4 linked regions of the Elephas maximus indicus genome follow. The protein of the gene in region 1 purifies or fractionates together with the protein of each later gene. This does not show direct contact. Links are inferred from orthologs where the notes say so. Each region holds a gene or a part of one and is shown in the gene's direction. Other genes may lie near its edges. The genes, in order: BTRC, STK3, REST and GLI1.

The links.
Region 2: the proteins of BTRC (region 1) and STK3 purify together in Homo sapiens (affinity purification with mass spectrometry; 3 studies listed by BioGRID and IntAct, counting the BioPlex papers as one, with this or other methods). This does not show direct contact. The link is inferred for Elephas maximus indicus from reciprocal best matches to the Homo sapiens genes BTRC and STK3.
Region 3: the proteins of BTRC (region 1) and REST purify together in Homo sapiens (affinity purification with western blotting; 8 studies listed by BioGRID and IntAct, with this or other methods). This does not show direct contact. The link is inferred for Elephas maximus indicus from reciprocal best matches to the Homo sapiens genes BTRC and REST.
Region 4: the proteins of BTRC (region 1) and GLI1 purify together in Homo sapiens (affinity purification with western blotting; 3 studies listed by BioGRID). This does not show direct contact. The link is inferred for Elephas maximus indicus from reciprocal best matches to the Homo sapiens genes BTRC and GLI1.

The regions. Positions count from the first base shown.
Region 1 is NC_064834.1:52,979,056-52,986,472, forward strand, and holds the start of BTRC (F-box/WD repeat-containing protein 1A), read left to right. Parts: upstream 1-3,930; 5' UTR 3,931-4,030; coding exon 4,031-4,078; intron 4,079-7,417. UniProt on the Homo sapiens protein: Substrate recognition component of a SCF (SKP1-CUL1-F-box protein) E3 ubiquitin-protein ligase complex which mediates the ubiquitination and subsequent proteasomal degradation of target proteins. Recognizes and binds to phosphorylated target proteins.
Region 2 is NC_064833.1:43,247,396-43,254,901, forward strand, and holds the start of STK3 (serine/threonine-protein kinase 3), read left to right. Parts: upstream 1-4,421; 5' UTR 4,422-4,604; coding exon 4,605-4,630; intron 4,631-7,506. UniProt on the Homo sapiens protein: Stress-activated, pro-apoptotic kinase which, following caspase-cleavage, enters the nucleus and induces chromatin condensation followed by internucleosomal DNA fragmentation.
Region 3 is NC_064823.1:104,103,466-104,111,174, reverse strand, and holds the start of REST (RE1-silencing transcription factor), read left to right. Parts: upstream 1-4,303; 5' UTR 4,304-4,627; intron 4,628-4,755; exon of another isoform or gene 4,756-5,445; intron 5,446-7,009; 5' UTR 7,010-7,022; coding exon 7,023-7,709. UniProt on the Homo sapiens protein: Transcriptional repressor which binds neuron-restrictive silencer element (NRSE) and represses neuronal gene transcription in non-neuronal cells.
Region 4 is NC_064822.1:117,378,785-117,386,945, forward strand, and holds the start of GLI1 (zinc finger protein GLI1), read left to right. Parts: upstream 1-4,666; 5' UTR 4,667-4,827; intron 4,828-8,161. Other genes in the region: INHBE (inhibin beta E chain), read left to right, coding at 754-1,150, 1,370-2,127. UniProt on the Homo sapiens protein: Acts as a transcriptional activator. Binds to the DNA consensus sequence 5'-GACCACCCA-3'. Regulates the transcription of specific genes during normal development.

The DNA.
Region 1 (7,417 bases):
AGCGCCTGGTAGATTTGAACTGCTGAACTTTTAGGTTAGCAGCCGAACTCTTAACCACTACGCCACCAGGGTTTCCACTATGTATATTAAAAAAAAAAAAATATTAGGGATTATAAATGTAAAATACCCAGTATAGTGCCTGGCACAAAGAGCTAATAAAACGATAGCTGTTGTTGTTATTATTATCTCACCCACTGATTCTAGTTTGCTCTGTGAAGCTACATACATATACTTTCAAATAGCCTTTCAAATACTTGAAGTTAATTGTCATGTTATTCCTATGTGTTCTTTTTTCAGAATAAGCATCTATCAGTATTTTCTCTCTTGGATATCCTGCTTTTGGCTATGCTCCTGCATGGGATCTTTGTAGAATGGGGTGCCCATAATTGAACAAGGTACTGTAAATGTAATCTGGGTGCTTCAAAATAAAGTAAGACCATAAGCCTCTTTGGCCCAGATCCTACTTCTGCTCAAGCTGCCTAGGGTTCCTTTAGCTTTTGTGGCAATCACGTCACATTACTGCCTTTGGCCTAGGAAAACTCCCAAGTCTTTTTTCACATGAGTTTTAAGTCTCCCTCATTTTACACTTGTGTAGAACTTTTTTTCAAACACGAGCGCAAAACTTTATATTAGTGGAAAGCCTGTTACGTATCAGATAAGTTCTGTGGAAATAGGGATGCCTACGACAAATCATTAACACGTTAGAAATGTAAGCTCCACAAGGGCAAGGACTGAGTCTGTTGTGTTCACTACTGAATCTCCACTTTTTGTCATGATGTCGGCACACAGTTATATGCTTAATGTTTGTTGAATAAATTACTGAATAAAATATTTACAATGGAGATTTTTTCTTATAAGTTAAAAGGTATTTCTCTGATTCACTTATTTTTTTTTTTTTTTTTATAATAACTTTTATTAAGCTTCAAGTGAACGTTTACAAATCCAATCAGTCTGTCACATATAAGTTTACATACATCTCACTCCCTACTCCCACTTACTCTCCCCGTCTTGAGTCAGCCCTTTCAGTCTCTCCTTTCTTGACAATTTTGCCGGCTTCCCCTCTCTCTATCCTCCCATCCCCCCTCCAGACAAGAGTTGCCAACACAATCTCAAGTGTACACCTGATATAATTAGCTCACTCTTCATCAGCGTCTCTCTCCCACCCGCTGACCAGTCCCTTTCATGTCTGATGAGTTGTCTTCAGGGATGGTTCCTGTCCTGTGTCAACAGAAGGTCTGGAGAGCATGACCGCCGGGATTCCTCCAGTCTCAGTCAGACCATTAAGTTTGGTCTTCTTATGAGAATTTGGGGTCTGCATCCCACTGCTCTCCTGCTCCCTCAGGGGTCCTCTGCTGAGCTCCCTGTCAGGGCAGTCATCGATTGTGGCCGGGCACCAACTAGTTCTTCTGGTCTCAGGATGATGTAGGTCTCTGGTTCATGTGGCCCTTTCTGTCTCTTGGGCTCTTAGTTGTCATGTGGGCTTGGTGTTCTTCATTTTCCTTTGCTCCAGGTGGGTTGAGACCAATTGCTGCATCTTAGATGGCTGCTTGTTAGCATTTAAGACCCCAGACGCCACATTTCAAAGTGGGATGCAGAATGATTTCATAATAGAATTATTTTGCCAATTGACTTAGAAGTCCCCGCAAACCATGTTCCCCAGACCCCCGCGCTTGCTCCGCTGAGCTTTGAAGCATTCATTTTATCCCGGAAACTTCTTTGCTTTTGGTCCAGTCCAATTGAGCTGACCTTCCATGTATTGAGTGTTGTCTTTCCCTTCACCTAAAGCAGTTCTTATCTACTGATTAATCAATAAAAAAACCCTCTCCCACCCCCCCTCCCTCCCCCCCTCGTAACCACAAAAGTATGTGTTCTTCTCAGGTTTACTATTTCTCAAGATCTTATAATAGTGGTCTTATACAATATTTGTCCTTTTGCCTCTGACTCATTTCGCTCAGCATAATGCCTTCCAGGTTCCTCCATGTTATGAAATGTTTCAGAGATTCGTCACTGTTCTTTATCGATGCGTAGTATTCCATTGTGTGAATATACCACAATTTATTTACCCATTCATCCGTTGATGGACACCTTGGTTGCTTCCAACTTTTTGCTATTGTAAACAGAGCTGCAATAAACATGGGTGTGCATATATCTGTTTGTATGAAGGCTCTTGTATCTCTAGGGTATATTCCGAGGAGTGGGATTTCTGGGTTGTATGGTAGTTCTATTTCTAACTGTTTAAGATAACGCCAGATAGATTTCCAAAGTGGTTGTACCATTTTACATTCCCACCAGCAGTGTTGATTCACTTATTTTTATAAATTCAGATCATTTACAAGTCTAACATAATCTCAGTTTTAGCTTAAACCTAGAGTTTTCTCCTCCTAGGGTAATCCAATTTCCAAAATAAACACTAATTATTCCTTTCAAGGTCAAAGAAAATACTCACATGCTTTAGCTGCTGGGTGGCCATTATATTCCACCACTGAAGGCCTTTTGTAAACAAGTACCCCCTTTGACCCTTAATGCACTGTTTACATCCCAGGGTTAACACTAGCAAACCATGCCTTCTGAGTGTTAAATACCTGAAAATTTCCTGAGCTGACATCTATCTGGCCCTGTTTTTCTGCAGGGGGGGAGAATAGGTCTTTTGGAAGAAATATGGGGAGCTAGCTTTGGAGGACCTTGAAATTCTTCATTGGTCTGTGACCTGCTGCCAGGTACCCACAGGCCCAGTGCCTCTGGGTCACAAACCCTTCCGCAGAAGCTAGATATATGGAATTTGGGGTTGACTAGTTCCCTAAATTCAGTATAGATTAAACATCAGCATAAAGAAAACTAAAATCCTAACAACTGGACCAAAAAGCAACAGCATGATAAATGGTGAAAATATTGAAGTTGTCGGGAGTTTCATTTTACTTGGATCCACAATCAACATCCGTGGAAGCAGCAGTCAAGAAATCAAATGACACATTGCATTGGGTAAATCTGCAGCAAAAGCCCTCAAAAATGTTAAAAATCAAAGATGTCATATTGAGGACTAAGATGGACCTGACCCAAGCCATGATCTTTTCAATCACCTCATATGCATGCGAAAGCTAGACAATGAATAAGGAAGACGGAAGAATGATGCCTTGCAATTATGGTGTTGGCAAAGAATATTGAGTACGCCATGGACTGCCAGAAGAACGAACAAGTCTCTTGGAAGAAGTACAGCCAGAATGATCCTCAGAAGCAAAGATGGATGATGACAAGATTTCGTCTAAGGTACTTTGGACATGTTATCAGGCGGGATCAATCCCTGGAGAAGGACATCATGCTTGGTAAGTCATAGGGTCAGCGAAAAAGAGGAAGAACCTCAACGACGAGATTAATTGACACGGTGGCTGCAACAATGGGCTCAAGTCAACAACTGCGAGGATGGCACAGGACCGGCGGTATTTCGTTCTGTCGTACGCAGTGTCCCTGTGAGTCGGAACCGACTCCACGACACCTAACAATAAGAAGTTCCCTAAAACCACAGTTAGGGAGGTCCCAGGACCTCTGAGTCCTCTCATAGTTTTTTCCAGTATTTGGGGTACAGGTGAGGTATACCGGTCGCCATCTTGATATCAAATGTCAGGCAAGCTGCCATTGGCGTCTCACGGTAACCACGGAGACACCCGTGCCCCTCCCATTCCTAGAGGCCATAAACTACAATTCCCATCAGCAGACTTTCCCTTGTTGACCGACAGTTGTCTAGGCTTGACTCGTCTGCAACGGCGACCCTGCCGCAGTGAACCGCGGGAGTCGCAGTTCGTGGTGTGGTCTCACTTTTTGCTGCGGGAGGCACCAGAACTACAAATCCCGTGAGCCAGCGGGCTCGCGCATGCGCATGGAACAGCCGATCCTTGCTGGCTCCCTCGCCAGCGCCTAGAGTTAAGAAAGGGCGGGGTGAAGGAAGAGGAGGCGGGATCCGGGCGCTGCGTTGGCTGCGGCCTGGCACCCAGGGGGCGGCCCCGGCAGAGAGCGAACCCAGCGGCCCGGGTCGATTATGGACCCTGCCGAGGCGGTGCTGCAGGAGAAAGCGCTCAAGTTTATGGTGAGGAGAAGGTGCAGACCAGGGAGCGGTGGAGGCGGTGGCGTTGGCGGCGTCGCTGAGTCTCGAGTCTGGGCCTCCTGTCCGCTGGGGGAGGGGGCAGTGGGACCCCGGGCCGAGGCCGGCGACGGCGAAGGCTGAGGGGACAGGACCGGAGCTCCGGGGAGGCGGGAGGGAGTTGCGGAGGAACCCGGGAGTGGGGGCAGCAGCTCCGCCATCTTGTGGATGAGAGGCCAAGTGACAGCGGGGGTTTAATCCGGGAGGGGTCTCCGGGCAGCGCGCGGGGCCGTGGAGAGAAAGGGGCGTGGGGACAGTTACTGAAGAGCGGAGGAAGCCGGGAGGATAGACGCCCAAAGGCCGCTGGCAGGGCCTTCCTGGTGTCAGGGTTACGGGTAAGGCCCGGAGAGGAGGTGCGTTCAGGAGTGGGGAAGGGGAGCGCGGGATAGTGGGAGGACGTATATTGGAATTAGGAGGGAATCGGGCAGGGCTGGATGCAGATGGATCTAAGAGTGGACGAGGGAAAGCCAAGGCTGATGGGAGACTTGTAGTTTTGTAGAATGAAGAGGGAGATAGCCTTTGCCTTGAGGGTGGAATCCCAGCTTAGCCAAACTAATGTTGACAAACTCTGAGAAGGAGGAGGCCTTACTTAGGAAGATAAGGACTCGGAATGGGGACCTAGGGCCATGGTAACAGTCTCTGGGAAAGAACGGCGAGGTTGACTTGTGAGCCAGATTACAAACGTCAGGAAAAGGGATATATGCTCTACTTTGAAAGAAGAAGCTAAATATTGTTGTAAGGACGAGGCGATGAAAAGCAGGAGCCTAATTGGTCAGGGAAACTCGGGTATAGGAGTTTGAGGGCAAATTAATATCTAATAAAATACAAATTAGAGCTAACTTGTGGAGGTAGTGAAGTGTAGGGACCAGGTGCTGTATCACTTCCTGGGAAAGAAAGGGCCAAGGAGATTAGAATTGCAATGACCTATGTGATGAAATCAGAGGAGAAATTCAGGAGATAAAAGGGGGAATGTGGGTAGTCGGTATTGAGAGGAAAGTCAGAATTGGTGGTTCCCATCAGTTTTAGGTGTGAGCATGGGTTGGGCTTTGTGTGTGTGTTTAAACTCCTTGGAGCTTGTTTAACTTTGTATCATGCTTTTCTTGTGCTATACTTACATTTGGCACACGTGTGTAGTCTGATATCTCATGCTTTTAATCTGATGCTTCTTGTATATCCTAGGTGTAAAGCCAGACTTTGTGGTTACAAGTACAGAATGATGGGATGCATAGACTTCTAGCTTAACAGGGGGCTTTAGAGATATTGGTATTATTTGCAGTCAAGTCTTGCTTGCTTTTTCAAAAGTAATTTTAACCTGTCACTCCAAACCTTATTCCTTTGCTAGATAGTTATTACATTGTGTCTTTGTCTGAAATACTGTAACAATTTCCGAATCAATAAACATGGGTATTAATTGAATTAACGCTTTAAACTGCCCCACTTACAAGAATACTTCCCAAGAGACTGGTCAAATTTACTTAAACACCTAAATAAAGTTTGACTGTATCGAAAACAAAATCCCATTAAACTTGAAGAAAGTTCTTGAATGTCTGCCTAATTTTGAAATCTTAAAATATTTAAGAAGAGACTTTGAATTTTTTTTTGATTTTAGAAATTAGAGGAAATTGTTTTATGTCTATAGCTAGCTTCTAAATTTAGTTTAAGTCAGAAAAGTGGCAGCTGCTTATTTTTATTTTCCTATTTAGAGGGTTGACTCTTAATCCTAGTCCTGACACTTGTGTCAGATTTATGGAATAGTGTTATTTACAGATCGTAAAGAGGCATTATGAGATCATCTTCTTTACTCCCCATTAGACCTCAGCCTATGAACATTCTCAACTATTTGCTCTCTGCTTTGTACCAGTAAGTTATGTTTCCGTAATAGCCTTCTGCTTGAGTTAATTTGGACCTGAAGATGGCCAGTGTAGAAGTTTCCAGCTTTTTTGGGGCACACATTATTAAATGTTGAGTCAGTCTCCATAGGGAGAAGCCAATTTTTTCTTTAAGTTACTTTCATTTTTGACCTTGCCTGCTACTGTGGTTGCTGTTTGAGAAAAGGCCAACTGGAAGAGGGTCACCAAGAATGACACCTTAATAACTGATGCAGAGAACAGAGAGCCAGAGACTTGGTATTCTCCTTCAACTCAGTAACAGTCTTATTATGAATCTGAGTAAGTCACAGCTTCCCTTTGGTCCCAATTACCCCACCATAACCTGTGTGTTTATTCAGGGTGAACTTTGAGTTATGAAGATATTTTATTTGCTCTTGAACCAACTAATTAGTTTACAGTACACATGGAAGGGCTATCCTTTAATCAAATTGAAATTTTTATAGTGTTTGCTTTATTTCTTGCCTGACTCCTCTCAGTTGTGAATTACTAATTGTAACTTTTGTATAGATGCCTTGATTTCCATAGTTTAAAAAAAAATGTATAGTTTGTTTAAAACCCCAACATGAAATGAATACCGTCTTTACCAGTTTTACTCATTACCACATTGATGCAGTGTTGCGATTAGGAATTTTATACTAAAATCTTATTAATGAGACTGCTAATTCAGTTGACCGTAATTCACACATGGTCTGTACTCTTACCCTTAGTTACTTGTGAAAAAGAGTTTAAGCAGAACATTTTATTTCTAAAAACAAGTGATATTAAAGAAGTGGTTTACAGTAAATAACTTGTATGCTAATGTTTCTCCCTCAGCTTTAGCAGGCCATTAGGACCTTTACTGATATTTACTTGGTCAACAAAAATCTAATACCTTAAAAAAAAGATAAATGGGAACTGTAAGAAGACCTGAGAAGAGAAACTAAAAGGACTGAGGGGATGTTAGCATTATTTTAATTATATTTATAAGGAGGCCTGGTGGTATGATGGTTAAGAGCTCAGCTGCTAATTGAAAGGTCAGTGGTTCGAACCCACCAGCAGCCCCGCTGAAGGAGAGACCTGACTGTCTGCTCCCCTAAAGATTATAGTCTAGAAAACCCTATAGGACAGTTCTAACCTGTTATGAGTTGGAATCAACTTGACAGCATACAACAACAGCAACAGGCATTATTTTATAAGGATATATGTATATATTTAATAGAATGACAAGCTGAGGGATGAATTCATTTGAAGTTTATTTTAAAAAAATGGACAGGATAAATATATTCTTGTCCAGCCAGTCCCAGAATCTTAGAATGGGGAAACATTTGAAACTTGGATGAAATAATTTTAAGACACAAAATAAAATAGTTTGTAGAGTTGATAATAACTGATAGTAAAAACCACCAACAGTGTAACA
Region 2 (7,506 bases), on another chromosome or scaffold:
GACTGCCATGTGTTTTTTTAGGAAGAAATCCACAGAGATAAAGTGCTATTCTCATCGCATCATATCAAGGGTACTGCCTTAGTTATCTGGTGCTGCTATAACAGAAATACCATGAGTGGATGGCTTTAACAAAGAGAAATTTATTCTTTCACAGTTTAAGAGGCTAGATCAGGGTTTCAGCTCTAGGGGAAGCCTTTCTCTGTCAGTTCTGGAGGAAAGTCCTTGTCATCAATCTTCCCCTGGTCTAGGAGCTTCTCAGCCCAGGAACCTTGGGTCCAAAGGACGCCCTCTGATTCCGGCGCTGTTTTCTTGGTAGCATGAGGTCCCCATATATCTCTGCTTGCTTCTGTCTTTTATATCTCAAGAGAGATTGGCTGAAGATACAACCTAATCTTGTAGATTGAATCCTGCCTCATCAACATAACTGCTGCTAATCCCACCTCCTTGACATAGAGGTAAGATTTACAACACATAGGAAAATCATGTCAGATGACAAAATGGTGGACAATCACACCATGCTGAGGATCATGGGCTAGCCAAGTTGATAGATATTTTGAGGGGACACATTTCAATCCATGAAGGTACATAATATCAATATGACTTCTCACTGTCGATGTTAACCTCGATCACCTGGCTGAGGTAGAGGTAATGCTTCTCTACTGTAAAGTTACTCTTTGTCCCCACCCTTTTCATATTTTACTCTTAGGAATACAGTATGAAGGAAGTCACTGTATGCAACCCATACTTAAGGAATGAGGAGTTACGCTCCACTTTCTTGAGAATGGAGTATCTTCTTTGTTTTTAATCATTCATCTCTTCAATCTATCTCAAATTTATTCTGATAAATGGTCATAGTGGACATTGAGGTAGCTTCTTCCTCTTCTTTTTTGTGTAATAGGTATTTTTTCATTGGGGTAGTCACAGTGGAAATTGACACCATCCTAGCTCTAAGGGCCCCCTCCTTTAACCCAATCAGGGAATTCCCATCCCTCTTCATGCACTGATTTAGTCAGATAAACCAATCATTTGTTCAGGCATGAGCCAAATCATTGATGACAGGGAATGGTCAAGCTGACAATTTGAGCCAATGAGACAAGAAAGGAGGTCGTTGAGGCATTCTAGAAGAGAAAAGGTTCCTCCTCCTTTTAAGGGAGCTACTAAAGGAAGTACAGCCAGAATGCTCCTTAGAAGTGAGGATAGCAATATTTCATCTCATATACTTTGGACATGTTACCAAAAAGGAACAGTCCCTGGAGGAGGACAACATATTTAATTAAATAGAGGGTCAGCAAAAAAGAGGAAGACCCTCAAGGAGATGAACTGACAGAATGGCTGCAACTATGGGCTGAAACATAGCAATGATTATGAGGATGGCATGGACTAGGCAGTGTTTCGTTCTGTTGTACATAGAGTCGCTATGAGTTGTAACAACTTAATGGCATCTAACAACACCACCACCATCAAAAGATAGTGCTTTTCTCCTTCTTGGCTCTTTGGTGTTGTTTCTATCACCAAGACCATATTTTCTGAGCCTTCTTCATTGTTTTGACTTTTGTATTCCAATTGCCAGTAATTATCAATGCATCTTGATTGCATGTTCAGAAGTTGGTAAAAATCTTCAATTTCTTCATCTTTGGTCTTAGTGGTTGGTGTGTAAATTTGAATAATAGTCGTATTAACTGGTCTTCCTTGTAGGTGTGCAGGTATTATCACTGATAGTGTTGTACTTCAGGATAGATCTTGAAATGTTCCTTTTGATGATGAATGCGTTGCTATTTCTCTTCAATTTGTCATTCTTGGCATGGTAGACCATATGATTGTCTGATTCAAAATGACCAATACCAGTCCATCTCAGCTCACTAATGCCTAGGATATTGATGTTTATGCATTCCCTTTCATTTTTGAAGACTTTCAATTTTCCTAGGTTCGTATTTTATACATTCTGATTATTAATGGATGTTTGCAGCTGTTTCTCCTCATGTCGAGTCTGTCATATCAGCAAATGAAGACCTCGAAAGCTTGACTCCATTCATGTTGTTAAGGTCAACTCTACTTTGAGAATGCAGCTCTTTCCCAGTCGTATTTTGAGTGTCTTCCAACTGAGGGGCTCATCTTCCTGTGCTATATCAGACAATGTTCCACTGCTATCCATAAGATTTTCACTGGCCCACTTTTTCAGAAGTAGACCTCCAGGTTCTCATCCTAGCCAGAAGAGACTCTGAAACTGGCTCTTGAATGTAGAGTAGCTAAAGCAAATGGAAGAACTGAAGAAGTAAAAGAGCTGAACAGAAGATTTCAAAGGGCGGCTTGAGAAGACAAAGTAATGAAATGTGCAAAGACCTTGAGTTAGAACACCAAAAAGGAAGAATATACTCGGCATTTCTCAAGTGGAAAGAACTGAAGAAAAAATTCAAGCCTCGAGTTGCAATATTGAAGGATTCTATGGGCAAAATACTGAATGATGCAGGAAGCATCAAAAAGAAGATGGAAGGACAACAGTCACTGTACCAAAAGGAATTTGTTGATGTTCAACCATTTCAGGAGGTAGCATATGATCAAGGACTGATGGTACTGAAGGAAGAAGTCCAAGCTGCATTGAAGGCATTGGTGAAAAACAAGGCTCTAGGAACTGACAGAACACCAACTGAGATGTTTCAACAAATGTATTCAGTTTGTCATAGAATTTATCTTCATATATAACAGAAACTTTTTAATTTCTCCTTATAACTGATGTATAAGGATGGTGGATTTTATAAATGAAATACATTTTTGTTTTATTGAGTTCTGTGATGAGTTCAGAAATAAGAGCCAGGAATTGCTGTATTATTCTGTATAACAAAGGAAAAATTAGGGATCCCAGGTTAATCCAGGAGGCCAGAGGTGAGAAGAGGAGAACAGAATTTCTCTAAAATTTTCTCTGCCCTTCCTACTTCTTTGTGCAATAGATGTGACGTTGGCTAAGGGGTTGATGGGTTTGCTGAAGAGTCTCTGTTTGCCACTCCTCTTCATATTCATTGTTTTACCTTCCAAGAAAACTGTACGTAATTCTATGTCTTGAACAATTTCTAACAAAAACAAGTTAACTCATTACATTTGTTAAAACAAAAATAGTATTAAGCCAATAATAGAAATTGGTTGAAGTTTACTTAATATAAGATTTGTGAATCAAGGCAACATTTCCAACTAGAGAGTTAAAAATGTTCCAAAGAAGAAAGACCTTGCAAAGATTCTTCTACCATAGCTTATCACTAGTAATTATGCATTGCCATGGAAACAGGGCCAAAATAGCATTTACATAATAACTTATGGTCCTGCAACATTTTTTAAAGCAATATTTAAATAGTTACTGATTGACCCTAAAACATAGCTTCTAGTCTGACCTTCGGAGTTTCTGTTGTTGAAACTGACTGCACAGAGATAATTCTTTAAAAAAGCACAGTGTCCAAGGCAAATATCCTTTACTAATTAAGCTAGACTATTCTTTGAGTTAAAGATGACTCTCAGAAAACCAGTTTCCTCAAGGTTTAAAGTTCAAAGATTATCTCAGGGTGATAGTTTGGATCAGTCATTTCAATCTCCAAGGAATCCAGAAGTCTGGATTCCATGAGAATTAAAAACTCCCTTCTTCACATGGCAACTGTATCTGGTCATAAGAAAGATATCTATATGAATTTAAGGTTAAACAGGACACAGACAATATGGATGCGTTGTTGTTGTTGTTAGTTATCACCCAGTCCCCTCTGACTCATGGCGACCCCATGTATGAAGGGGTCAAGTTGCAACTGGGTGAGGGTGTTGGGAACAAGTTATTGGGAGAGGGCGAAAAAAGGGGAGGAAACAAAGTTTTCTTGAGTACTTTTCATGCAGTATAATTTGTGATAGGTTTGCCAGGTTACCCAATTAAATAGCTGGCAGTCCCCTAGTACAGTAAATCTGGTGTGCTGAGACATCTCACCACAGCAATTATTTTCTCTTTAATTAGATGTAATTATTGTGAAATATAGTGAGGAACATGTCCACAATCAAAATCAAACAGGAATTTCCAGAAGTATCCCTAGTATTGTAGTTACAAATGTCAAATGTCTGGGGAAAACATAACCAATAATTATAAGGAGAGAGAGAAGCGTGGGTTATTAGTAATAGCTCAAGCAGATTCACAAGATGCTAGAGATGCATCTTGTGGGAAATCCAGAGAAATAAGTCACATCAAATTGGGGCAAAGGCAGCGAAGGCGAGTGAGGAGCAGAAGCTCTGGGCTAGCTCAAAGCCATGTGCCTCTAGCCTCACCTAGCTCTTCAGGCCAGTTACATACTGCCCCCCTTCCCCCTTCCCTGTACCACGGCCGGCCACGCCCCCGTCCCTGGCCCCGCCCACTGTCCCGGGAGTCCTGCAGGCTGCGGCTCAGGGGCGGGGCGGGCCAGGCCGGGCGGGAGGAGTCGCACGCCAGAGCGGGCGGAGGATCCGCTGCGGAGTTACGGGAAAGTTGGTCCGAGTTCCTGGAGTTTCCCTCGGCGGTTGCCCGGCCCAGCCGGCCGGTGCCCTAGCTCCATTTCCCCTTACAGCCTTCTCCGCCTGCTTGCTCCTTGCTTCTGTCCCCAGCCGCCATGGAGCAGCCGCCAGCACCCAAGAGGTAAGCAGCGTGGGCGGGGAGAAGGAGGAAAGCGCCCCGGCAGCCGCGGAGCGGGGCGGCTAGGCCTGGCCCGACCGCGACCCCTCCTGCCTGCTGGGCCTCGAGCTGGGCGCACCGAAGGTCCGGAGGCAGGTCCCAGTGTCCCGGCCGCGCCTGTCCCCGAGGCGAGGGGGCCCGAGGGGAGACCGCGATTGGCTTTCCCCGGGTGGCGGGGCCTGGCGCGCGTGGAAAGTCGGGTCTGCAGCGCCGGGCTCCCCGCAGCCCAACCTTAGGAGACTCCAGGGCGGGTCGAGTTTTTCCTGGTGGCAGTTCCACGAAGCCTGGGAGACGTAAAACTTGGAAATTATTGGTCTTCTTACAGCAATGTAGGCTTCTTGTCACATGTTCTTCATAATACCTCATTTTTTTGAGAATGTGTGTTGCTTACTTACCACTTAAGGAATTAAATATTAATAATTAGACAGCCTGTAGAACTTTGTGTATATGCTGCACTGACAGGTGTCTCCTCTCCCTCAAGTTCCGAAGTATTTATGGATGCAAGACAGTAGGAATCTTAAATTAGAAACACTCCCCCTTAGAGTTTTTTGTTTTTCTTTCAGCATTTAAAAATAGTGTTGCTTTGGTATTTATTGATAACTCATTTTTAATCTTTGATATTATATTGGAAATATAATGGAGTACACAGTAGATGCGTTTGAATGAATATTTTAAATGATTTTAGGAAGCTAAATAAAGGCTGTCCACTGATACAAGTTCAAAATGGCATTTTTTCCCAAGAATGAATTAACTGATGTCGGATAAATCGTTTAACCTCAGTCTTCCATTTATGATTTGTAAAATAAGTGTGCTGATCTTTCTCCCAGATAGTGCTGTTGTGAAAATTAAAGCTTTGATACTTAGAGCTCTTAAGTGGAAAGGTGTTGTATTCAAGAACATGGAATACTTAAAAAGGTAGGAACTTTGAGAGCTATTGTGAATTGTGTGACTTGACATGTGAGCCTTGAAGCCTGGAAACCATCTGTTCAGGTGAAAAGGGGGGTGGGGTGGGTGGAGGGGTTTTCAGAAGGAGTCTTCTATCAGAACCCTTGAAGCAAGTCACCTCATAGATTTTGTGAAAGTATCTGTATTCTAGAACTGACTGAGCACTCCGTTTTAATAGTATAGAAGAAAACTGGGAGCTTTTTTTTTTCTCTTCTGTTTTGGAAAGACTTGTGAAGTGGCACCTCTCAAATGATGCCATAGGTCAACTTTGAACAACTTTGAATTGGTAAAAGCTCTCAGTATTGATTAGCTCTACTGTAAGTTATCAGAGTTTCATAATAGGCATACGATGTAATGTCCTTGCCTTTGCAGGGACGTTAGAAGTAGTTGTGAGTGGGAATCCACTGGACGATAGTGGGAGGAGTGGGTGGTAATTCCATATGGTTGCACAACTGACAGACTTATTTTCAGCTCTCTTCAGAGAGACTTATGTTGATCCCTGAAGGTATTTCTGAAGAGTAAAAGATAAAAGTTACATTAGTCCCTTATATTTGAGTGTCCTTCAAATGTTTTTTTGTAGCATTTTCGTGTTCATAATTTCACTTAATTCTCACAGCTACCGTATTGGATAGGTTGGGTTACAGGGATTCATCTTATTTATAGATGACGACACTTAGCAGAGTTTGCCATATGGAATGCTATGAGGGGTTACTGACAGTGTGTTTGTGTTGTCCCTATTGATTATTACCTTCTAATAATAAAACATATCTACTATTTTTGAGGGCATACTGTTTGCTAGGAACTTACATTCCTTTATATAATCCTTCTAAATAATAGAAATCCTGGCTCTGCCACCTGCTAGTTCTAAATTTAAATTTCTTCGTCTGTAAAATGGAGAAAAGATTGAAGTTGTCAAGGGTTTCATTTTACTTGGATCCACAATCAACAGCCATGGAGGCAGCAGTGAAGAAATCAAAAGACGTATTGCATTGGGCAAATCTGCCGCAAAGGCCCTCTTCAAAGTGTTGAAGAGCAAAGATGTCACCCTGAAGACTAAGGTGCTCCCGACCCAAGCCATGGTATTTTCAATCACATCATATGCATGTGAAAGCTAGACAATGAATAAGGAAGACCGAAGAAGAGTTGACGCCTTTGAATTGTGGTGTTGGTGAAGAACATTGAATATACCATGGACTGCCAAAAGAACGAACAAATCTGTCTTGGAAGAAGTGTGGCCAGAATGCTCCTTAGAGGCAAGGATGGCGAAACTGCATCTTACATACTTTGGACATGTTGTCAGGAGGGTTCAGTCCCTGGAGAAGGACATCATGCTTGGCAGAGTACAGGGTCAGCGGAAAAGAGGAAGACCCTCAATGAGGTGGATTGACACAGTGGCTGCAACAATGAGCTCAAGCATATCAATGATTGTAAGGATGGCGCAGGACCGGGCAGTGTTTCGTTCTGTTGTGCATAGGGACACAATGAGTCGGAACCAACTGGACGGCACCTAACAACGACAAAAAAATGTCAGGATTCAGTGAGGTAGTATTTGAAGCACTTAGCACAGTGCTCTGTAATGTGTTCAGTATCATTTTTGTTAGCTGCTGTTGAGTTGGCCCCCAACTTGTGGTGACCTCATGTACAACAGGTTTGTACCAGTGTGATCCACAGGGTTTTTATTGGCTGATTTTTGGAAGCAGATTGCTAGGCCTTTCTTCCTAGTCCATCTTAGTCTGAAAGCTCCACTGAAACCTGTTCAGCATCGTAGCAACATGCAGTCCTTCACTGACAAATTGGTGGTGGCTATGCCTGAGGTGCATTGGTCGGGAATCTAACCTGGGCCTCCTGCGAGGAAGGTGAGAATTCTACCACTGAAAGACCACTGCCCTTGCAAT
Region 3 (7,709 bases), on another chromosome or scaffold:
AGGGTTTCCAAGCAGTGGCTGGTGGATTCAAACTGCCGACATTTTGGTTAACAGCCATAGCTCTTCACCACTGTGCATCCAAGGCTCCAGGATCTTGTTACTATTAATTTAACAAATACTGTTGGGCAACTACCATGTTCTAGGCATTGGGGATAAAGTTGAATTTCTCTGCCCTTCTGGAGTTTGGAGCATAGTGGTTAAGAGTGGCACAGTGGTGAAGAGCTATGGCTGCTAACCAAAATGTTGAATCCACCAGCCTCTCCTTGGAAACCCTATGGGGCAGTTCTCTTCCGTCCTGTAGGGTCACTATGAGTTGGAATCGACTTGATAGCAACATTTTTTTTTTTTTTCCTGGAATTTAGGGTCTAGTGAGGGGAGATAATAAATAGGTTAAATAAATAAAATGCATGGAATGATAGTGATAAATATTAAAGAGAAAAAGCAGGGAAGGGGAATAGGATTAAGACAAAGAGAAGGGGGGGTTAATTTTAAACAGTGTGGCCACTGAGAGGGTGGTATTTGAATCACGGAGGGGAGGAAATGAGCTGCTTGGGCAGAGGGATATTTATTGTACAGACTTTCAGAAGAGGAACAGCAAGGGACCTGAGTTGGGTGAGTAGCCAGTGTTCAATGGGGCTGGTGTGGCTGAAGGGAAGGGAACCAGGGGGATTGTAGCTCAAAATGTGATCTGGGTTCCCAGAAGGTTAGAAGGAGCCCAGCTCATTCTCATGTTCCTTTCTTGCCTGCTTTCCTTCTCTCAGCATTTACAGAACACCTCTATAGCTCAGGCTGCAGACACTGTAGTGGATAAGACAGTGTGTTAAGCAGTCCTCAGAACCAGGTCAAAAGGTCAGGGTCCAACTGGCAGCAAGGATGAATGCTGCTGCATCAGACAGGACTAGACCAGAGCTTCTCACTTCCTTCTGCCTTTGGGAAGGATGACTCTTGAAGGTAGTGTGGCTACAGGCCTACAAGTGGGCCTTGAAGAGGGCAACAGAGAGCTACAGAGAGGAAACAAGGGGGGCCTCATATACTGAACTTAAAAAATATGTAATTGTGCTAGGAAATACATGTACATGATTCAAAATTTGAAACAGAGTAAAAAGCACCAGAAGTTGCTGAGAATTTTAAGTACCACTAGTTCAATCTCTTCATTTTACAGAGAAAACTCCAGAGAAGGGATTCTTAAAGGGTCAGATGAGAAATGGGTCTCTTGTGTCCCTGGCCAGTGTGCTTTCTATTATATTCCAATCTTTCTTACACCCCACCAGGACTTTCAAAATAAACTTATAAAGGAAACAAAGCAACATTTTAAATGGTGCTTTCAGTTCACTTTTAGTTAAATGCGTAATAGAAATTGTGCTGACTCAGATGTAAGAATGTAAGAGCCAGGTCAGTTACACCTGGAGGAGATTTCTGTGGGGGCAAAGAGGGTGCTGGGTACTGCTGGAAATGAAGGGAGGATGGAAGAAAGGCCCCAAATTTTGTTCCTTGACAGACCAATGTCTTCACTCTGACTTTTACAGCAGAAAGTGGAACTGAAACCTTTCAACATCAGGATACAGATGTTGCACCCAATTTTTAATCAACCCAAACCTTGAGTCAGATGTAACATTTAAAGCAGATTGTTGAACTTCAGTGTAACATTAATGTGGGTTCAGTCAAATTACACTCTTTTCTAAAGAAAACATTGAGACATGGTTAGGAATAAAAAGCACATGGAAGCTGAAAAACAATATTTTACCAAACTTTTGAAATAAATCTCAAGAGAAAATATTAAGAACATATGACAATTAAAGTTAAAAAAAAAAACTGCTGAATTAAATATGCAGGAAAGAACCCATATTCTCAAAATAACAAAACCAGAACTCATTCACATTTCAGTCTTTATCTTGCAAAAGATCTTAAAATTTGGATGCAACAAAGTAAAATACTGCCTCTTGAAAAACAATGAAGAATTTAACTTCATAGTACCAGCTTCCCCCAAGGTAATTTTCTATTGATTTATAATTTGGCCTTGAATTTGACCTGCGGCCTTCATGTCTTGATAATTTGGGTCATTCTGAATATGTCATCCCTTGAACAAGGGCCTTTGCTAATTTTAAGTGAATGCAGCTGCCCCATTTGCAATTCTTCTATTTGCATCACAATATGTGGGAATAAATTCACAATTAATAAAACATTTCCATTAAGCAGTCAGACCAAGGAAATGAAGAACATTCATCTAGTAGGTTTAAAAAGAGATTTCTCATTTTTTCCTTTTTGGACCTAAAAAGGGGCCCTGGTGGACAAAAAAAAGGGTAAGAAAATAGTTCATGTCTTTGACAACTTTCATAGAGGACAGAATTGGTCTCTGGGGTACAGCATTTAGAATAGCCATGTAACCTCAAATTAGATTTTAGTTTAAAAAGAAGGGGGGAAAAAAAGAATAAACATAGAAAAATTTTGTACCAAGCCTAAACATCTAGAAAAGTTGGCCTTGTTCCTTAGTTCTCTTTCTCTAAATGAAAATGAATACTTATCAAGTTTGATTCTTGGTGATGGTTGGGGTGGGGGGGGGGGGTTGTGTTTTAAATGAAGTCGCTGAAACTTTTAGCCGTCTTTAGGCTCTTCATTCTATCCCGCATCTAAAAAACAAACAAACTAACCAGTAGCCACGGAGTGGAATAGGACTTCTAGCAATCCTATAGGACAGAGTAGAACTGCCCTACAGGGTTTCCAAGGAGTCCCTGGTGGATTCAAACTGCGGGACTTTTTGATTAGCAGCCAAACGCTGCATTAATTAGTAATATGTTGTCTAGATATAGGAAAATAAGAGTCTTACTGAGGAGTGTACTAGAAAGCGTCAAGTCTGGAAGTCCTGCCTGAAGAGAAAGGAGTGAAGGAACTGAGGGAGCCAGAGGAAGAGCTAGGGGTATCTTAGGCGGCTTTGGGCTTTTGAACTGGTTTTTACAGTTTAAATGGTCCTTCACCCAGGGCTAAAGAGAATTCTACTTGTTGAATTCTCATTCTCCAAGGTCAGATTGAATGTTATCTATTGTGAGAAGTTTCTAGATCCTCCTAGTTAGGATTCAGCTCCCTATTTTGAATCCCCGTAGCCCTTGCTGCCATCTTTATTATGATGCTAGTGACAGGCCGACTAACCTAGATCAGGTTAGGCAGGGCCTTGAATGCCACACTAAAGAATTTAAGCTTTTAGTTTGTAGGCCATTGGGAGCTATTAAGTTTCTAAGGACAGGCCTGACACAAGACTCATGTTTTAAGAAGGTATCAAAGGCACTTCGGGTGGAAACAGAAGGTAAGGAGTGCATGAAACTACTTTTTAAGCATATTATCATATGCCAGGCATTTTGTGTAGTTATTCCAATTTACAGACAAAAAAAAAAAAAAAAACCAAAAACCTGTTCCGACTCATAGCGTCCCCATAGGACACACAACTGCACCACAGAGTTTCCAAGGAGCGCCTGGTGGATTCGAACTGCTAAACTTTTTGGTTAGCAGCCATAGCACCTTATCACTCAACCACCAGGGTTTGCATTTATAGACGCGGAAGCCAAATTTAACAACACGTGGACGCCGGCAGCTTCACCACCTCTTCAGTTCTTTACCCTCAGTAATGTGGTTTCTATTCTTCCACTGGAATCGCGTTTTCAAGGCTCAGCAATGAGCTGTTTACCTGACACGTCTAGGGAGTTGTCCGCTCAATCTTATTTTTACTAACTGTTCTGAGGCTTTTAACACCGCTGTTCATAACGTCCTTCCCCGAACATTTTCTTTTCACAACAAACACACTAATTACATTTTCCTCGCTTACTGTTTGAAATTTGGATTGCATTTTTACCAAAAAAGTTTAAAACGCAGTTTAATTAGTTACGGGTGGGGATGGGTGGAGACTTGAAGAGATTTTGAAAAGTACTTTCTAGCGCTTCAGATTTAAGAGCCCAGTGACAATAGTGCTAAACAGAACGGTCAAAGCCTGCAGACTTTTCTTTTAACAGCTCTATTCTGACGCATGCACGACAGGGTTGGGGATAACTTTTCTGTTGTTTGCTTTTAAGAGAACTAAAGGAGCGGGGCCCGCCTCTTTTTTGACCTAAGAGCAAGAGTGAGGGACCGCGCGGATTTAGGTACGGCCCCCTCTAGGCGCGACCCCAGTCCAGCGAGGGTGTGTAACTACCCCCTTCGCCGAGGGGCGGGGCGCGCCCAGCGGCCACGCGCGCGGGCGGTGGAGGGGGCGTGTCTCGCGAGGGCGCGCAGGCGGCGGAGGGGGCGTGTCTCGCGGGCGGCGGCGGCGGCGGCGGCGGCGGCGGCGCGGGCCGGATGCGCGGCGCAGCCTCCTGTGTTGGAATGTGCGGCTCCCGCGAGCTCACGGCGCAGCGGCAGAGCGAGCGCCGCCGAGGCCCCGGGCCCCAAACCCGGGCGGCGGCGGCAGCCAGGACGACAGGGCGAGGGCCAGCGGCCTGAGCACCCACAGCAGCCCTACTCCTGGACCTTCGCGGGCCTCGACGGCCCAATCGCCCAACTTTTCTACCCTGCACCTCCCCTCCCCCGAAACTCCAGCAACAAAGAAAAGTAGTCAGAGAAGGAGCGGCGACGCCGGGTCGCCAGCTCCTCGTCTCCTGGTTAGGTGGGTAAGCCGGGCGCGGGGCGGGGGGCTCGGTCGGCGTGGGGGAGGGCCGGCCCGGTAGTGGCCGGGCGGCGGGAGGGGGAGGGCGCGGAAGGACGCGGAGCGAGGCGCTGTCCAGGGCTGATTTGCAGATACTGTGGCTCCGCGGCGGCGGCCGTACCGGGCGGGGGCGGGCGGCCGAGCGGGATCGGGTTACACCGCCGCGGCCCGGGGGCTGGGCCGGGGGCGTCCTTGGGGAGCGGCGCGTCGTCGGGACCCCCTCCACGGGCGAGGCGGGGTCGTCCCCTCGGCGCGGGCCCGGCGCCCCTCGAATTCCGGTCCTGAGGCCGCGAAGCGGAGCTGCTCGGGGCCCCAGTCCTGAAACTTCCTCCTCCTCCTCCCATTCCCAGGTCCCGCCGCCCGCAGCAGCCCCGCGCCGGCCCGAGGCCCTCCCCTCCACCCTTCCCATCCCGGCCTCTCCCTTTTGCCGAAGGCGCCGTTGAGTGCGGCCGGGCGGGTTGAGTCAACCCCGTGGCCCGGGCGGGTCCGCCAATGGGGCTGGACAGCGATTTCTGCGCTCGGGCCGCCCCGGCGCCTCAGCCCTCCGCGCGCGGCCGCCGGCTTGTCCGACCTGGCGGACCCGGGGAGAGCGTCCTGCCGGGCGCCGTGGGGGAGTGAAGTTCGCAAACTTCCGGGGCGCGGGGGTGGCGGCCGGCGCGCGTGGGGGCCCCCTGCCTGCTCTGGGCCGACTCCTCCTGAGGGCGCCAGCGGAGGCTCTCCGGTCCTTGGCGGAGGGAGAGCCCCGGGGCGATCAGGAGAGCCGGGGCGCCGGAATTACGGTAACTTTCCTCTTTCCTCCCAGACCCGGGCCCGCGGGCCGGGAAAGGGACTGCCTGGACGTGGGAATGACTTGGTGTGGCCCCATGAGCCCCAAGTACCCATCCCCCTCGTTTTTAGTGTTGGGGGACACAGGAAAAACCTCGGGACGGTTGTTGGGGCAACTCGCGCGAGTTGGTGTGTAGATGTGTGCAGCGTGTAGGCCCGAGAGGAAGCGAGAGCGCCCGAGTTTGCAAAGAGCTGCTTTGTGTTTGGTATTTTGAGAAAATGGCCGAATGCCTATTTCAGTCAGGAATGCCGCCGCCGAGGCAGGCGCTGGTGGCAGCAGCACATAGGAATTTGTGCAACTCGTAGGGCTGTGCTTCGTCGGTCTTCCTCACAAATGTTAAAATTCCTTTAGGGATAGTAGGTAGTAGGATTTTGGAGGGATTAGAAAAGTTGATGTTTGGGTAAATACCGAGTAGTCTGTGCTGTTAGGCACTGGGAAACCTTTTACGGTTAGTTTGTTTTCTCTGTTGGTGTTTTGATTCCAACTTTTTCTTGGTACCTATTACTAAACCGGCTTGTGTTCATAAACTTGATTGAAATGATCTCCTTTTTGTATTTTAGGTTTAACTGTACTTTTTAGTGTAACTTGTCGCATATTTTGGCTTTTCTAATTTGGAAGAGAACAGCTAAAGTATTTGAAAAGCAACGTGATGGTCAAGACCATTTAAAAAGCCAACATGTTTTCAAGAAGGTGATCTTGTAATGGCTTCCATTAGGGCAAGTAGGCCAAGTCAAGCACAATGCACAAAAAGTTACTGGTTGTGGAATGTAGAGTTGTAGGTTTTTTTCATTAGAGGGGTTGAAAGATTAATTCTTAATCTTCGTTTGTGAAGTTTGGAGTAAGCTAAACTTCCCTTTTTCACAGGAAGAGGGTCCATGATTATTTTCCCCTTTGAAACCAGTGGAGTCATCAAAAAATTTAGACTGAGTGGTACTTTTTCCACAATAGCTTATTCTTCTGAAGTTAGTTGGGTTGATATGGAATTTAATTAGGTTGACCAATTATTACAGCCTTCCACTTTCCAGACGTGCTTGTGAATATAAGGCACAACAGTATGATTTTGGGGTTTTTCAGCTCAGATTTAGACCAGTGAATTGTTGGGAGAATAGGAGAACAACAATATGCTAATCATGTATTGAATTTTAAAATAATTTTAATTGATGTTGAAAATGAAGATTACTTGTTCTTTACCCACCAGAAAAATGAAGTTCTTGAGGGAAGACCTGCTAATCAAATATAAAATTAATCACCTAGTTGACCTAGTCGGTGCGTGAGTTATGTCAGTACTGTTGATAAAAATTTTTTAGGCGTAATAAAAGTTTTTCTGTTGACTGAAAAAAAGAAAATTGGTGATTACAAGAATATTTTGAAGGTTTGTTTTTAGTGGTTTATTAAGCTTCTGGAGTTTTAAAGATTATATTGGAAAAAATGTTTTTTTAGTTAGGAAGAATTACATTGATGCTTTCATTTCAGACTATTAAAAGTTGTGTTTTATTTTTTGTTTATTTTAACTTCAGACAGAATACAGTTATGGCCACCCAGGTAATGGGGCAGTCCTCTGGAGGAGGAGGAGGGCTGTTTACCAGCAGTGCCAACATTGGAATGGCCTTGTCTAACGACATGTATGACTTGCATGACCTCTCTAAAGCTGAACTGGCCGCACCGCAGCTTATTATGTTGGCAAATGTGGCTTTGACTGGGGAAGTAAATGGTAGCTGCTGTGATTACTTGGTTGGTGAAGAAAGACAGATGGCAGAATTGATGCCTGTTGGGGATAATAACTTTTCAGATAGTGATGCAGAAGTACTTGAAGAGTCTCCTGAAATAAAAGGTGAACCTAATGGACTGGAAAACATGGAACTGGAAAGTTTGGAACTCAGTGTTGTAGAACCTCAGCCTGTATTTGAGGTATCTGCTGCCCCAGAAATTTATAACACAAATAAAGATCTTCCTACCAAAACACCAGGAACAGAGGACAAGTGCAAGAACTTGAAGACCAAACCATTTCGCTGTAAGCCATGCCAGTATGAAGCAGAATCTGAAGAACAGTTTGTGCATCACATCAGAGTTCACAGTGCTAAGAAAGTTTTTGTGGAAGAAAGTGCAGAGAAGCAAGCAAAAGCCAGAGAATATGGCTCTTCTGCTGCTGAAGAGGGAGATTTCTCCAAGGGCCCCATTCGCTGTGACCGCTGTGGCTACAATACCAACCGATATGAT
Region 4 (8,161 bases), on another chromosome or scaffold:
CCTTCCTCCATGTTGTGCCCCAGTCCAACTGGACTCTGGGCAGCCAGCATAGGCACAGTCAGGGGGTGACTTCTGTGCCCCACAGCATTGCCTCCTCTGCCTGGACAAGAGGACTCCGTTCTCCCCAAGCCCCACCCATGTCCTAGCCTGATTGCTAGAAATAAAGAGCCCAGAGTTCTCCTTCTGGCTCAGAGGCCCCAGAGGAATCCCCACTGGGATTCATAGCTACCTCATGGGAAGTGGTGTGGCAGTGGCCATTGGGCAAGCTAGAAAAACTCAAGGTATGTGGAGACATGGCCCTTCCCCACCTGGCTCATATGGAGTCCCCTCCCCCAAGGCCCAGACCTTGGGAACTGAGCATGTGAAATCAACCTCTTTCTTGCATCATGCGTGTCCACATTATCCCCCCACCCCCATACCCCTACCTCAACCCCCGCCACCATGGCCAGATGGTGAAACCAGAGCTCCAAGGGGGGGACCTCCACCCCCTGCAGGGGCCTGATGGGCAGCACAGCTGTCCAATCCCTGGGCTCAGAAGGTAGGTCTGCTGGCTGACCACTAGGTGGGGGAGCCCCAGACACCAGCTCTAAAGAGGCCCCAGATCAGTAGTCAGACATAAGCTGTGAGGGTCAAACTGGAAGACAGAGCTAAGCACAGCAGCCCATCAGACGATCCGCCTTCCTGAGTTCCAGGCGATAGAAAACAGGTGGCTCTACTCTTGGCCAGTGGTAGGTGTGGCACTGGCGTCTGCTAATGCTGTGCCACATTGGCCCTCGTGCAATTGGACTCAACAGAAGGAGCAACTTCCATCCAAACTCCAGGGCTCTCAACCCAGGGCCATCCACCAGGAGCATGAGGCTCCCTGATGTCCCACTCCAGCTGGTGCTGCTGTGGGCACTGGTGTGGGCCCAGGAGGCAGAGTCTGTGTGTCCCTCCTGTGGAAGCCCCACACTGGCACCCCAAACAGAACGAGCTCTGGTCCTAGAGCTGGCCAAGCAGCAAATCTTGGAGGGGCTGCACTTGACCAGTCGTCCCAGAATAACCCACCCTCCACCCCAGGCAGCGCTGACCAGAGCGCTTCGGAGACTACAGCCAGGAAGTGTGAGTCCAGTAAATGCGGAGGAAGTCATCAGCTTTGCTACCATCACAGGTGGGTAACGGAGAGACAGGCGGAGAACGGTCAGGAAAAGGGAGGCAGAAGGGGAGGCTGGCAGAAAAGGCGGAGGAAGCAGGGTGTGGTAGGAGAGGGAGGAGTTGGGCAAGGACTGGTTTCGAGGTTACAAGGCAGTCCCTATTTCTTCTGAAAGTGGGCTGAGGGAGAGCAGTGGGCAAGGCTCACGGTTCTTTCCCTTCTCCATCTTTTGGGCAGACTCCTTGGCTTCAACCTGCAGCTCCGTGCTCACCTTCAACCTGTCCACTCCTCGGGCCCACCGCTTGTACCATGCCCGTCTCTGGCTGTATGTGCTCCCCACCCTTCCTGGCACCCTTTACTTGAGGATCATCCGGTGGAACACAAGGAGAAGGCGCCGAGGGTCCCGCACCCTACTGGCTGAGCACCAAATGAATAGCCCGGGCTGGCATGCCCTGACTCTGCCCTCTAGTGGCTTGAGGGGTGAGGAGTCAGGCGTCCTGAAACTCCAGCTGGATTGCAGACCCCTAGAGGGCAATAGCACAGCTGTTCGGCCACAGCAGCGGTTCCTGGATGCACAGGGTGACCAGCGGCCCTTCTTGGAACTTAAGATTCGGACCAATGAGCCTGGAGCAGGTCGAGCCAGGAGGAGGACCCCCACCTGTGAACCTGAGACCCCCTTATGTTGTAGGCGAGATCATTACGTAGACTTCCAAGATCTGGGATGGCGGGATTGGATCCTGCAGCCTGAGGGGTACCAGCTGAATTACTGCAATGGGCAGTGCCCCCTGCACCTGGCTGGCAGCCCAGGCATTGCTGCCTCTTTCCACTCTGCTGTCTTTAGCCTCCTCAAGGCCAATAACCCTTGGCCCTCGGGTACCTCCTGCTGCGTCCCCACTGCCCGAAGGCCTTTGTCCCTCCTATACCTTGACCGTAATGGCAACGTGGTCAAGACAGATGTGCCAGATATGGTGGTGGAGGCCTGTGGCTGCAGCTAGTCAGAGGGCCTGGGGTTTTGGAGTGAAAAGATCAAGTCAGGGCTTCCCACACAAAGGGCATCTGCCTGAAGGCATCTGCCTGAAGGCATCAGATTCCTGGTCAACATCCCCACCCCATAGGCGACCTGGTAATATGTGACCCAAATGGGTACTTTTTTGTCCAGACTCCTGGTCTATTGGAGGCTGGTTGATGTGTGAGGAGATGGGTAAAGTGTTTCCTCCAAAGAGGTCTACCTAGAAAGGATGATTTCTAGTCTAAACTTTATGAGAAAATGGCAGGTGCGAGGGAGGCAGGGAGAGAGGGTGGGAAGAATAAAGCAGAGAAAAATTACTGTAGTCTTTCCCAAGAAGAAAAAGTCCTCAGGTAGGGGGAGGAGGAAGCAGAGGGCCCAGCAGGCTTGGGGAAGGGGAAACAGGCTGGCCAGGGGTAGGGATTGTTGAAGCGTCTTAAGGGAGGGCCAAGAGGGAGATGGGCAACGGGCTGAAGGAGGGTGTTTAGGAAAGTCCCAGAAACAGGATCAAGAAAGAGGGGTGCTGAGCCCCAAAGAAGTTTCCAGTTTTTCCTGGGGGGCAGGACCCACTGGGGAGACAAACATTTATACTTTCCTAATAAAAATGAGAGAAAAAAAAAATCAACAAGTGTGAGTCATGAAACAGGCTGGGGTGATGGTCCAGAGCAACAATTCTCAAAGTGTGGGCTGGGGACTCCTGGAAGGTCCCTGAGGCCCTTTCAGGGGTGTTCAAAAGTCAAAGCTATTTTCATAATAATACTAAGATGTTGTTTGCCTTTTTAAATTTTCATTATCTTAAAAGTGTATGATGGATTTTTCCAGAGGCTGCATGACATATGATTACATCATCTTTCTGACGTCATTGTGAATGGAATGTGTGCTTGTGTTTTCTTGTATTTAAATTTGTTTTCCATTTTAATTTCTAATACGGCAAATTGATAGATATAAGCCACATGAATAAAAGTTCAGCATTTTTTAAGGGTGTAAAGTAGTCTTGAGACCAAAAAGTTTGAGAGCCACTGGTTTAGAGAACCTGGTGGAGAGGGTGTTCTAAAAGAGAGCTCCCTTGGGGGAAGGGGCGTCTAGCTGGAATGAGTGGTATAGGGTTCGCTCCTTCCTTTTTGGTGACCATTGGTCTGGCCTGACCCAGATGGGTCCCTGATCCTCTCCATATAACTGGTGTCTGGGTCAATGTCATACGGGCAGAGGAAGGTTCAAATAAGGCTCCTATCTGTCTTCCCTCTCCCCACCCCATAGTTACTACCTATCTTTGTAGGACCCTGTACTCTCCCTAACTTCATCATTTCCCCATGCCCTCAGACAACAGTTAACCAATTGACCTCCAGGCCCAAGGAGGTTGTCCTTGGAAGCAGACCTGAGATGTGGAGTCTGTTTGAGGGCTGGCAGAAAGGGGAAGGGACTCTTTCACCCTTTTGGTATAAAGGCCACAGAGACTAAAATAGGTGCCCCTTTCCCTGCATTCGGTCACCAAGGTGACAAAAATCCAAATTCACAGGGCATTCCCCTTTCGGTTCGGCACTACAGCTCTGCACTAGCAGCAGCTGCCAGTGTGCCCCTCCGTTTCTTTGGGCTCACATATCCCCGGTCCTAGACCCCTTTCTGAGGGTGGGTGGGGCGACGAGTGAAAACCTCCTACTCCTTCAGCTTCCCCAGTCTCCTCCGCCTCCAAGCAGTATCCGAGAGGTGTCATGTGCCAGATAGGCCAGCAGAGGGAGTAGAAAGCCCTGAAGAGCGAAAAGACAGCCGGCAGTGGAGAGGTGCGGAGGTGTCTGCAAGTCTCCCGAACTTCCAGATGAAGGAAAGCGGGGATTCTCGGTCAACAGTGCTTCTCGGGGAACAGCGATTCAGGCCCAGGACCCCTTAGGTGACCTGTGAACGCATACCCTGTACTCAGGCCTCAGCCGCTGCTTCTCTCTTTTATGCTCCGTAGACACCTTCCACCTAGGGCCCCCAGCCCTTCAACCCGTCTCCCCCAAACCCCAGCTCTGTCTGAACCCATCCAAGTTCCATCCAAAGGACGAAGCCAGCCGATTAACCTCAGGGAGAGAGAATGCTGCGTTAGCATCAATCAAAGTCGACAATCCTATCTCTAATATTTTCTAAGATGAACTTTTTCGTCGCCTTCCCCCTCTCCCAATGTTATTTCCCAATCTGTTTTTCTGGCTGGGGTTTAGGGCCTCTTCGTGGGCAGCCGATCCAGGATCCAGGCCGGGATTTACTGCCTACCGACAGCAGCGTGTTCGGCGAGGGGGGGGGGCGGGAGGCAGTATAGGGTCCCTCAAGGGAGGGGGAGGATCCTGGGGGTCCTGGGGGTGCAATAAGCCCGGCACCCCCTCTCTCCCCTGCAGCCACCTCGCCTCATCCTCAAGAACGGCAAGAGGGAGGGAAACAGGAGGGAGGTGAGGGGCGAGCGGGAAGAGCGGCGGCGCGCCAGAGGCTAGAGCGAGAAAGTTTTTGCAAAAAGAAAAAAAAGTTTGCGCTTCTCGCGGGTGGTCCCGGCTCGCGGCCCGGCGGGCTGGGCCGGCTGGAGGGCTGGGGACCAGGTTGGGGGGGGTGGGGTGGCACTGAGGCTGCGCCGCCGTGGCCCCGTCCGCCCCCCCCACCTTACACCCCCCAGCCCAGACTCCAGCCCTGGACCGCGCATCCCAAGCCCAGCGCCCAGACAGAGGTGAGAAGGGGGGTAGGCGGGGGACCACCTGGGAGCGGTGGGGGAAGGGGCCTGAGGGGATGCCCTGCTTCTGAGGGACTCAGCCAGCCAAGAAGGAGACCTGGGCATAGGGGCAAAATGGGGGTGGAAGAGCCTGGGGTAAGAAATTAGAAACTTGGGAGGAATTTTTAATTTGTAGCTCTATATCTTTCTCTGTATCTCTTATTCCTCCTCCTTCTTCTTCTGAGTCTGGTAGTCTGTGTCTCTGTCTCAGGCAATTGTGGGTCTCTTTGTCTGCCTCCTACTCTCCCATATATTAGAAACATCTCACTTTCCGGAGTTGAGAAGAAGAGGCTAGAGGGACGGCTAGTTGGAGTTCTGCTTGGTAGAGAGGGAACTCCAGGTGTGTGTCTGAGAGCCAGGCAGAAAAACGTCGATGTTTCTGAAAGGAGGGAACCGCGAAGGAGGGAGCCCTAGGTGGGATGGGGATGGGTGTGTGTGTGTGTGTGTGTGTGTGTGGTGAGACGATAAAACCACTGAGGGGCGGCTGGGCTTGAACCTCTGACCTGTCTTGTGACAGATGTGCCCGTGAGTGCATGTGTTTTTGGGGAAAGGAGTTTGGAAGGGCTGCCCAGTGTCTAATCGAGGCCGTAGAAAGGCTCCTCAGGGAATTTGGACTCCTGAGTCCCAAGGGATGTAGGTAGGGCGCCAAAGAGGAGGTGGGGAGACCTTGGCTTGACCCTCTGAACTCAAGACCACCAGGGCAGCTAGGGCCAGCCGCAGGGAGACCCCTACTGGGGCTGGGCGGGACCACCGGCCATTGCCAGCCTGCGCATCCCGGTTGCCCTCCCCCTCCTCAAACGGGAGCTGGGGACCGAGGCCCCTCCTCTGGCTCAGACCACCCTGCCTGCCCTTGCTCCCCGCCTCTGAAGCCTCTTTCAGGCCCCATGACCCCGAAACAATCCGCAATGGGCAGCTAGCATTGGGGACAGGATTATGGGAGGGGGACCCCGTAGAGACTGGGTACTGAGGGTTTTAGGGGGCTGGAGAACTGAGGTCTTCATAAGATTGGTCTTTAGGCCCCAGTAGAAGGAGAAGGAGGGGCGAATTCCCGAGGGAGAATTAAGGTGGTTTTTCCCTAGGGGGCGGGGTCCAGAGACCCCCCCATTATCTCTCTGGCATCCCCGCCCGGCGCTCAGACCCCGCCTTTGACGTCACTAGGGGGTTCCCGGGGGTCTGGACGGGATTAACCCTTGGGAAACCGGCTGGGATACCCGGGAACCTACGGTGTCCTGGCCCCTCCCCCCATATACACCTTATTTTATTTACCCGATCATTTTCTCTCCCTATATTTTCTGGATTATCTTTATTTCCCACCCGCCCTGGGAATCCCCCACTCTCCAATAGTGTCCCCCAGGGCGCCACTGCCTGCTTTATGGATGCACGGAGGGGAGGAGGGAAGAATGCGTCCCGCCCCTCACCCCCCCTCCACTACGGCTCGCTTGACTGGGCTCCCGGGGCGGGCGGGGGAAGCGGAGCCGACTGCAGCCAGAGCCTGCGGCGGCGACTTGGGTGGGCCGAAGAGGCACGGGGGCGGGGAAGGCGGGACCGGGAGAAGGGGGCGGGGCCGACTCTTGGGAGTTGAGGAGCGGGGTTGCAATGGGGACTCTGGAAAATAGGGAGACATTTAAGATGATTCACGGCTCCGGCCGGGGAACCCTAGAGCTTCCTGCCCCATCTTGAACTCTCACCCATACCCCAAAAAAACTTTGTTGAAGCTGGAAAAGTTGGCGAAATTTTCCTTTCATTAGTGTGAAGGGAAATGTGGGTGGGCTGTGGCACGCGTGGGCGAGGAGGGATGTCGCCCCATTTCCATCGCGGTCCTGGGTGGCTGGGCAGTGGGGCAGGAAGATGACGGAATAGGCACTTTGGGGGAATCTCTTTAGTGTTGAGGGGGTCTTTTGCGACCCCGCCTCCTTCCCCTGGGTGAGTCATGGAGGAAGGAGGAGGGAATAGTGTCCCCCCATCCAGCTGCCAGCCAGCTGTGCCCCCCCCCCAGCATAGTGCCAAGGTCGAGTTGGGAGGTCTTGGATGCGGGATCCGGATCTCGGCTGGAAAAAGGAGGAGTTAGGAAGGGTACGGCCCAGGCTGCGGAGCTTGGGTTGGGTGGTGGGGTCCGGGTTCCGCGCCCCATTTTACCCCGCCCTCACCCTAAATCCCTGCATCCCGGGATCACCCACCGCGCCCGCCGGACCGCTCCCGTTCGTTCTCCACCCTACCCCGCCCCACCCCACCCTCAGCCTTGGGAGCCCGGGAAGACCTGGGGTGGAGTCTAAATTGGAGTTTGAGGAGAAGAGCGGACAGCGGCGCCCTATCCTCCCTCGCAAGGCCTTTCTAAAGGATGATGACTGCTTTTTCATTCTCCCAACGCCTTCCCTGACTGCCCTTTTCTTGTTGCCCCAGAGCAGAGACCAAGGGTAGGCGCCCAGATGCAAAACCACTCCAGAATAACACAGGCTTCCATCTCTTGTACACAACAGACCCGAGGCTCCCCTCAAACCTTCTCCCCTCACAAACCTCCCCTTCTACACACAGTTTTCTCCTAAGAGGGAAAAAAAGGGGCAGTTCCTTGAGCCTTTCTCGTCCCACCAGCTTCTGTCTGGCCTGTGGCGAGGGCTCCCTCTGCTGGATCCGGAGAGATTGTAGACAGCTGTCACAGGGCAGGGCAAGTGAAGGAAAGGGGCTGTGGCTGTGCAGCCCAGTGCTTGAAGTCAGACACCCACATGAGTTCCCCCATTCCACTCCTTAAAGCTGGCCCATGGCCAGAGCCAGAAGAAGGAGAAGTCCCATGGCATTAAAATCGCTTGAAGCTCATGTAGGCACCAAACCAAAAACTAAACCCATTGCTGTCCAGTCGATTCTGACTCATAGCGACCCTATAGGACAGGGTAGAACTGCCCCATAGAGTTTCCCAGGAGTGCCTGGCAGATTTGAACTGCCGACCTTTAAGTTAGCAATCATAGCACTGAACCACAAGCCACCAGGGTTTGCCATATAGGCACAATCAGTCCATAATACTCCTCCCCCCACCCCCCACACACATATAGAGACCACCCAGGCAAAGCCCCACCCAATCCCAAGGATCCCTAAGACTGCTTCTGCCCCTTTGGGACATTTCTGCTTATATTCTCCCCTGCCTTCTGCCCCAGTGATGCTCTCTTTAACTCGATTTCCCAGGGCAGATGTCATGGAGAGGGTAGGGACACAGGGGAAGTTCTGCCCAGGGTTCTGTGCCTGAGATAGTTTTCTGCCCCCCCCCCCCATTTCCCTCCTGGCTTTATAACTTGCAGATATC